2 linked regions of the Arabidopsis thaliana genome follow. The protein of the gene in region 2 purifies or fractionates together with the protein of the main gene of each other region. This does not show direct contact. Each region holds a gene or a part of one and is shown on either strand. Other genes may lie near its edges. The genes, in order: AT1G26750 and PPR336.

Evidence for each region.
Region 1: the proteins of PPR336 (region 2) and AT1G26750 fractionate together in Arabidopsis thaliana (co-fractionation; one large-scale study listed by BioGRID). This does not show direct contact.

Annotation. Positions count from the first base shown.
Region 1 is NC_003070.9:9,245,208-9,249,052, reverse strand, and holds AT1G26750 (uncharacterized protein), read right to left. Parts: upstream 2,197-3,845; coding exon 2,102-2,196; intron 1,891-2,101; coding exon 1,768-1,890; exon of another isoform or gene 1,517-1,767; coding exon 1,414-1,516; intron 1,267-1,413; coding exon 1,000-1,266; 3' UTR 779-999; downstream 1-778. Other genes in the region: SDG35 (SET domain protein 35), read left to right, coding at 1-749; AT1G26740 (Ribosomal L32p protein family), read left to right, coding at 2,498-2,758, 3,169-3,242, 3,704-3,773.
Region 2 is NC_003070.9:22,864,415-22,868,806, forward strand, and holds PPR336 (pentatricopeptide repeat 336), read right to left. Parts: upstream 2,253-4,392; 5' UTR 2,139-2,252; coding exon 912-2,138; 3' UTR 537-911; downstream 1-536. Other genes in the region: AT1G61860 (Protein kinase superfamily protein), read right to left, coding at 61-205; AT1G61890 (MATE efflux family protein), read right to left, coding at 3,689-3,754, 3,905-3,991, 4,087-4,205, 4,298-4,392.

The sequences.
Region 1 (3,845 bases), about 14 Mb from region 2:
GTTTGGATACAGAGAAGTTGTTGAGTATCTTGGATGTGAATTCTCTGGTGGAAGATGCGGTTTCAGGTAAAGTTATGGGGAAGAACAAAGAGTATTACGGTGTAGGGCTATGGACTTTAGCTTCATTCATCAACCACTCGTGTATCCCTAACGCAAGACGTCTTCACGTTGGAGACTACGTGATTGTTCATGCCTCGAGAGATATCAAAACAGGGGAAGAGATTAGCTTTGCTTACTTTGATGTGCTTTCTCCATTGGAAAAACGGAAAGAGATGGCTGAGTCATGGGGGTTTTGTTGCGGATGCAGTAGATGCAAGTTTGAGAGTGTCTTGTATGCTACCAACCAGGAGGTTAGAGAGTTTGAAATGGGTTTAGAGAGAGGCGTAGATGCAGGGAACGCGGTTTATATGGTGGAGGAAGGGATGAAGAGATGGAAGGTAAAAGGGAAAGATAAAGGGTTGCTGAGAGCATCTTATTGGGGAGTTTATGATGAGATTTATAACTCAGAGAGACTTATGAAAAGGTGGGGAAGGAAGATACCAACAATGGAAGTTGTGGTGGATAGTGTCTCTGATGTTGTTGGAAGTGATGAGAGATTGATGAAGATGGCTGTGGAAGGGATGATGAAGAAGCATGGAGGTTTCAGTAACATTGTGGAGATGGAGAAAATCATGAAGCTAGGGAAGGGGGTTTATGGCAAAGTGGTATCGAAAAAGAAGGCAATGAAGACTCTTCTTGGCATAGAGTAACAAGTTACAAATGTTGAAACTAATTGCTTGTAGGATCAATAGAGAGAGTAACCATTTTGGTTTTCTGTAATTCCTTGCCTCATGGAAGGAAACATCCAATGATATTATTACAAAGACATTCAAATGGAAATAACACTTGTTTTGTTGCAAAACATTTGTAGTCAAAGAATGTCATATATGAAAAAAGCCAGTTCTACAAAGAAATTGGATGAGTAGTGTGCATAAAAAGAAAACGATGATTTTGAGTAATTTATTCGTCGATCCAATTATCCTGATTAGCACTTCCTCCGGTTCTGTCTTGCAGCAACACATCTTTCTCATTTTTCAACTGGTTAACTAGCCTGCGGACGCTAGGAGTCTGGAAGCGATCCTTAGCGGATGTCTTCGATTGAGTTATTAACCCTTTCTTGGCACTAGGATACGGTTTAGGAGGTGGATCCTTATCTTGCATTACCGCAAGCTCCTTTAAGCGTTTGTATGCTTTCTTCATTTCCTTTCTCTCTGAAAGATATTCCATCTGAAAAATCATCAAAACACAAACTCAGCAAGTTCGAAGAATAACATCTCCCATGTTCAAAGAAACGGCATCAACAGCAGCGGTACTACGATTCATATCTATTCAAGTATCGTAGCTAATCATAGACTGTGAAAAGAAAATACGTACATTAGCTACAGACATGGCGTCACCCTCACTGATGCCATGCTCCTTCAATTCAAGTACCCGGCAACCATACACACGTGCTTGATCTGGAATAAATGCTGATATCCTAGGTAATTGAAGATGATGCAATGAGAGGGAGATAGATACAGAATGAAAAATGGTGAAACTCTCCCATTGAATCAGAATTTAAGAGTGACACGTGCTTATAGTAATGGGTTCAAGACAAAATTGTTTGAAATTAAACTTCTTTCTATAGTGATGCATATCAGAATAAGCTTTATGAAGAACTAACTCATAACATAATCATCAAACTATCTTTGATACAAATGCAGAGATATAAAAAGTTGAGAATTTTACTTGGCAGGGTCATCAATTTTGGTTCCAGGATGCTTATTAGCGAATTTACGAACGTAAGGATCCTCAGGGAGAACAATCTTCTGGATTTTTCCATTGGAGCGAGGAAACACAGGAGGTGGTGATCTGCCATTAAAACCAAATCACAGAACACTCATTTCAACAAAACCCTCAAAATCCTAATTCACAGATGCCAAAATCTCAACTTTTTGTGCGATTAGAATTCAATTGCATCCGAATTAGAAACCCATTAACGGATGATTCAATAAGGAAGTATCAAATTGATCAATCGAGCCAAATCATTTGGAGAAATAGAAATGGGAGAAGAGAGGGTTACGCTTCCATGGCTTTAAGCCAAACAGGCTCTCGTGTAGCTAAGCCACCAACAAGCCTCCTGGTTTTGGAAAGTAAATCACCTTTCATCCACGACATTGTTGCTGAGCTTCTTCACTTTTCTTCTTCGCTTGATCTGTTATTGTTTTACCAGAGACGACGAAGACACAAGGGTTTCAGAAATGGCTCGATTTGATAAAACCTCATGGTTCATGAATTAAACCGGGTACATCACACTCTAAATTACGGTCTAAAATCGGTTAACAGAGCAATTGTATGGTTCGTATGTCAAAACGCAGCCGTTTCGTAAATACATTTGCCTTGATAAATTTTCACCTCTTTTGGGTTTCTTCTACTAGTCTTCACTTCCGTCAGCTATAGCTTTGGAGAAACTGCATCAATGGCGTTGAGATTGACATCGCTAAAACGCGCCGCGGTTGAGTCCTGTCGCATTTTGGAAACCCGAAGCTTAAGTCATGTCGCTGCGATGCCTTCCCCCTTGAACGGAGCTTTTGATCGCCCGATTTCTATGCCGCCGCTGGTTTTACCTGAGTTCGATCAGAATCAACCGGGTTTGATCGAAGAAAAGAGCTTCGGGTTCGGGCTTCCTAGTTTTGCTTTTAATGGATCCATGGAGCTAATGGCTGTGCCTAAGAAGAAGGTCAAAGAACTCTCAGTCCCTTAATTAGTTTTCTCCTTTCGTTTTCCACTTCTGAAATGATAAAATTTCTTAGGGTTTTGATTTATTGTGGTATCTAGGGTTAGCTTTTTTGACGGAGTCAGGGTTTATCTAGGGTTTTAGGAAGGTGCACTATAGGACTTATTAGTTGATTATGCAATTGAGATACTAAGTGCTAGATTGCTTCTTCTATAGAATCTATCTAAGAAATGTTGTCTCTTTGTGTGTTTTTGAGTGTCCATTGTTTTTCCATTTGCTTGTGTATCTTTGGGTTTAAGTTGATTTGGTTCCTTACTTCCTTTAGGTTCACATGTGAATGAAAATGTGTAATTTTTAATGGCTCCTTGGAGAATGATAGTGTTAATTGAAGCTGTTCTTGATGAAACATGCAGATTTCTAAACACAAGAGAGGGATAAGAAATGGTCCAAAGGCTCTTAAGCCTGTTCCTGTGATCATCCGTTGCAGGTAAGAGATTAGCTTCTCTTCTTTTTCTTTTTTTTTTTGTCCGCAGATTAGCTTCTCTTCTTGTTTTATCTGTTTGATGCTTCTTAATATATCCATTAGGTTGAGTTTGGTATGGGTGTTTAGTTTTGAGGCTGTGATAGAAAAATTCTGTTAGGTTTATCTAGGTTGTTGTTGCTGCAGCAACAGCTGAAGAATAAATGCATATGCTTTGTGATTCATTGTCTCTCCTAACTATCACTTGGTATAAACTGCACTTGAGTAACTAGAACTGTGTATCGTTAACATGTTTGACGAAAGACCTACTTGTGTGCAACATGGTACAAAATATGAGTCTAGTTGTTCGGTTTTGGTATATGTTTGATTTAAAACTTCTTTTGTTTTCATGATCTCATTGTGAGGGCACTTGTATCAGAATTTTATATATGCCGCCAGTTTAAGTGCACACTCTTTTGTGTTTCCAGGAGTTGCGGGCGAGTCAAGCTGCCACATTTCTTCTGTTGCAGCGGTGAGCGGCTAAACCCTACTGAGTAAGGCAATTCGAACAACTGGTCATGGTTTCCAATATGATTACTCCTTGTTGGATATCAAGAGGATAAAATCTTG
Region 2 (4,392 bases):
ATGTGATCAAATCTTTGAGAAGATTGAGTTAGATGAAGAAGAGACAACGTTTACGAATACCTTTCCGATGTGAGCGAAATGTGAACAGTGCAAAAAGTTTACGGCTATGGCCTCTATAAGCTGTAAGACCTTCGTCAAATGAATCTCTAGGCGAATTAGGTCCAAGCTGATGCGGGTTGATGAAACAAGGACAAAGCTTCATCATTTTCCTTCTTCTTCCTTCCTCTGTTTGTTTTTTCTTTTCTGTTCTTGATTCTTCAGACAAAAACAAATCCTTTGTAATGAATCCCCCAAGGAAAGATTCGATCTTGTCTCTCTTACCGATCCTTTCAGATCCAAACCCTGTCTGGGCAAAACGAATCTGAAAGAAAGATCAGATCTTTCCCAGGAAAATGATGTTGCATGACACGAGAATTTAGGGGACGATCACAAAGTTTTGCTCTCTCTTATTGTTATATATGAATGTTCCCATCTCTCAAATTTGGATAAAAGGATTATTCTTCTTTTTCTTATTTTTAGGGTTCTCTTCTCTGTTCGTGAATAAGCCAACGCGTCTCTCTCTTTTAACAAACTTCCAATCAAATCTTTACTCCAAAACACATTAGTTCGTGGTAAGCATGTAAACATTAAACTTCTTTCTATATTATATAGTCATCATACTATATAATATAAACATAGGAAGACACTTAACATTGCTACAATGCTTTGACCAAATCTTACAGATAAACTGCTCAACATCTCTCTGATTCCAAATCCAAAAACTAACAAGATAAACCATTAATCTATAGCTACCATGATGAGCAAAAGATTACTATCTTCTAAGAAGATATAAACTTATTTCATTGCTGACAAATGAAGAGAGAAAATTCGTAAAATTTTGAAAATACCGATCTCGGGAACTATCTTTTGATTCATTGCGGTAATGCGGCTTCGACTTCGTTCCACAACTCAACGTTTCTAGTGAACTTCTCTTTCACTTGCCCAATAAGCTCCTTTGCTTCTTCGACTTTCGAATCCTTAGCTAGTCCGTTAACAAGCGACTTCATGATACTAAAACTCGGAACCCAATTCTTCTCCATACTCTCTTTACAAAGACTCAAAGCCGTCTCAAAGTCTCCTCCTTTGCATAAGTAATATATAAGAGTGAAGTAACACTCACTATCAGGCTTACATCCTCTGTTCACCATAATCTTAAACAACTTCTTCGCTTCCTCGAAATCATCTTCATTACAAAACCCGTGAATCAAATGGCTATACGTTACCGTATTCGGTTTCATCCCTGCAGATAACATCCCATCAAGCAAAGCCTTCGCTTCCTTAGATTTCTTCCTCTTACACAAACTCTGAATCCTAATGTTATAAGTCGAAACACCGATATTAACACCACGATCTTTCATCATCGCCAACACTTTCCCTACTTCATCACTCTTATCCTCTGCATAAAACCCAGAAATCATCAAACCAAAGCTTGAACTATTCGGCTTTATCCCTTTCCTCTCCATCTCCGCAACAATGGAGTACGACGAACTCGCTGAACCGGATTCACAAAACACTTTGATCATACGATTATAAGTCTCGAGATCAGGTTCAATTCCATACATCTTAGGCATCTCAATGTAAACTCTTTTAGCTTCTTTGTAATCCTTAGCTACTAAACAAGCAAAGAGAAGCGCGTTTAAAGACTTCACCGTACGAGAGATTTCGAATTTCTCGAGATCACGAAAAACTCTTAAAGAGTGATCAAGCATATTAGCTTGAGCATACAAAACAATGGCGTGAGCAGCAAAACGTTCCGATTTGAGATCTGGTCTGTTTTCGATGAATCCGTCGAGGAGATTCGATACAGCGGAGAAATGTTTCTTCTCGGCGAGATTCTCGACGGCGGCGGAGAAAGCGATTCGATCTATGCGGCAATCTGGAGTAAGAGAAGCTGCACGGCAGATTTCGAGGATACGATCTGGATCTTTCTCGGATTTGAGAAGAGAGAGAGCTGCTTTGCTTTTTTCTTTGCTTGTGAGAGGAGTTTTTGAATCTGGTGAGAGGATTGTTGAAGCCGAGGAGAGTGATCGGATTTGTGGTGATGCGTTGAGGTGACGGAAGAGAGATGTTGATGAACGGATTCGAGAGAGTAACGCCATTGTTGTTTTCTTAGGGTTTTAGATGAAGAAGATGACTGTGAAATGAAGAAGAAGACGGAGACTGGAGAATTAGGGATTGTTAGGGTTTTTGTGTTGTGTAAAATCTAATCATAGCCGTTGATGGGTATTTTAAAAGTCTTCACAATGGACGGTTGAGATGAAAACGAAAATTAAAAAAGTTGAGATCCGGATTTGTTCGGGGAATTGAACCCGACGTGAATCGAACACGCAACCTTCTGATCTGGAGTCAGACGCGCTACCATTGCGCCACGGATCCGGTAATTAATAGTCTCTCTAACTTATATATATTGCAGAAGATAAATTGTATTATGGTGCGAATGGTTGCTGCGGTTGAGGTGACAAATCTGGTGATGAATAAGTCACACACGCATACGCTTCCCATAAACTACTTTTTTCTACTTTAATTTCTCGATCTTACAACGGTCCAAGGCTAGAAATAAGGGGACTAATCAGATTGGTTCAGTGTTCAATCCAAGCGATTTTCAACTGGTGAGAGACTATCTTCGAAATAAGGTTGAAAAGGGGCAAAACAGCTCCATAAGAGATTGTACCAAGTCGAGTTGTGGCTTCTTCAACACGTAACACCACATCCTTTCTTCAAGTTTTAGAGAGTGGTTCTATTTTATTCCGAGTAGACAAGGATGGGACGAATAGACCGCAAGATCGCAAAGTACCCGCAATAAACGGAGAGAGCGAAGGCGGCACTTGGAGACCCATTGATTGGAAATTTCCGATCGTTGACGAAGCCGAGATGTTGATAGGTTACAGGGAGAGTTTCGTGTACCGCAAGAAACAGAATTGTAATTCCTATGGAAGTATACTTGGTTCATGACTCAGTATTATTCCCTTTGCGATGATCACAGCTTTGTCTTGTGCAGGATCCGACACCAGAGAAGATAGATGGAAGATGGTGTTTTCTTAAGGTTTAGCTGATGCATTTGATACGCTTGTGATTGGTTTTCTTTTCATAGTAAGATTGGTTTTTCCTCTTAGATTCAGTAATGTTAGGACCACATATTTTATTGTCCATTGCCAGTTTAACTTATGGAATTAATTAAAACTCCAACTCTCGATGGTTGGATTCATTTAATTTAGGGAAGTGATTGGGCCATTGTATTTGGTCCTAACTCCTATTAATCAGACGTTGAAAAGATACCCTTTCTTCTTCAACTTTTAGCTAAAAACTGACAGAAGTTGGTAAGAAGAAACAACTCACTCTTTATTTTCATATACAATCATACACTGAAATAAACTTTCAACTTTGCTCCTATATATTCTAATCTCAAATGTCCATCAAAAAAAAAACTCCCACAACACCAAGAAACCAAAAAAAAAACTCAAATTTCCAAGTCATTAAATAACAAAGCGATATACATTTTTCGATTGAAAAACGAGAGTTTAACAATTGAATATGCATCTTACAAGTGATCATCTATCGCCATATTTCGGGGAAACAAAAATTTTGATTTCAATCTGACCTCAAAACTCCCAAAAAAAATAAAAATAAACAAATCATTTCATTAATTTATTTATTGCTTCAAAAGCGGCTCACGGCTCTCTTCCCACTGGTCCAATCTGCTCGAAGCTTTCTCAACCTAAATTACAAAATAAATTTAGATTAATACCACGATTCATTGAATTCCATCATTATCATATCTACCAAAACTCATACAAAGATTTGTGCATAAAACTTTTCATTATAAACCTAAAAATGCTCCTAGATTAAAAAAATAAAAATAATTTACCTCTTTGTCCCAATCAGTTCGTAAAGTGACAATCACTAAGATTATTGTTTGCATTAAAGTACCACCAATCATCCCAGTCCATATTCCCTGCACCATATCAAACACACACATTAAATATTACAGCTATTATTATTTAATAAGGTACAATTATTGTAACCAAATTTACATGAGAAAAAATTTACCTTAGCTCCCATATCATAAGTGAAGCCAAGAACGAATCCCACTGGAATCCCCACAACGTAGTAACATCCAATGTTTACGTACGCAACAAATGCTTGCCATCCACATCCAACAGCCACACCTAAATATTGTACATCAAATTAATTTCAGTTTTTAGTACGTTTATTAATGATGTATAACGATTTGTGTGAAATGTGGGGGTTTTTTTTATACCGGACAAAACAGGCTGAATTCCATTGAGGACAATTGTGATGGCTAAAAAGGGAGATAAATCCGCAACGGCCTCAGCCACTGCTGGACTATCAGTA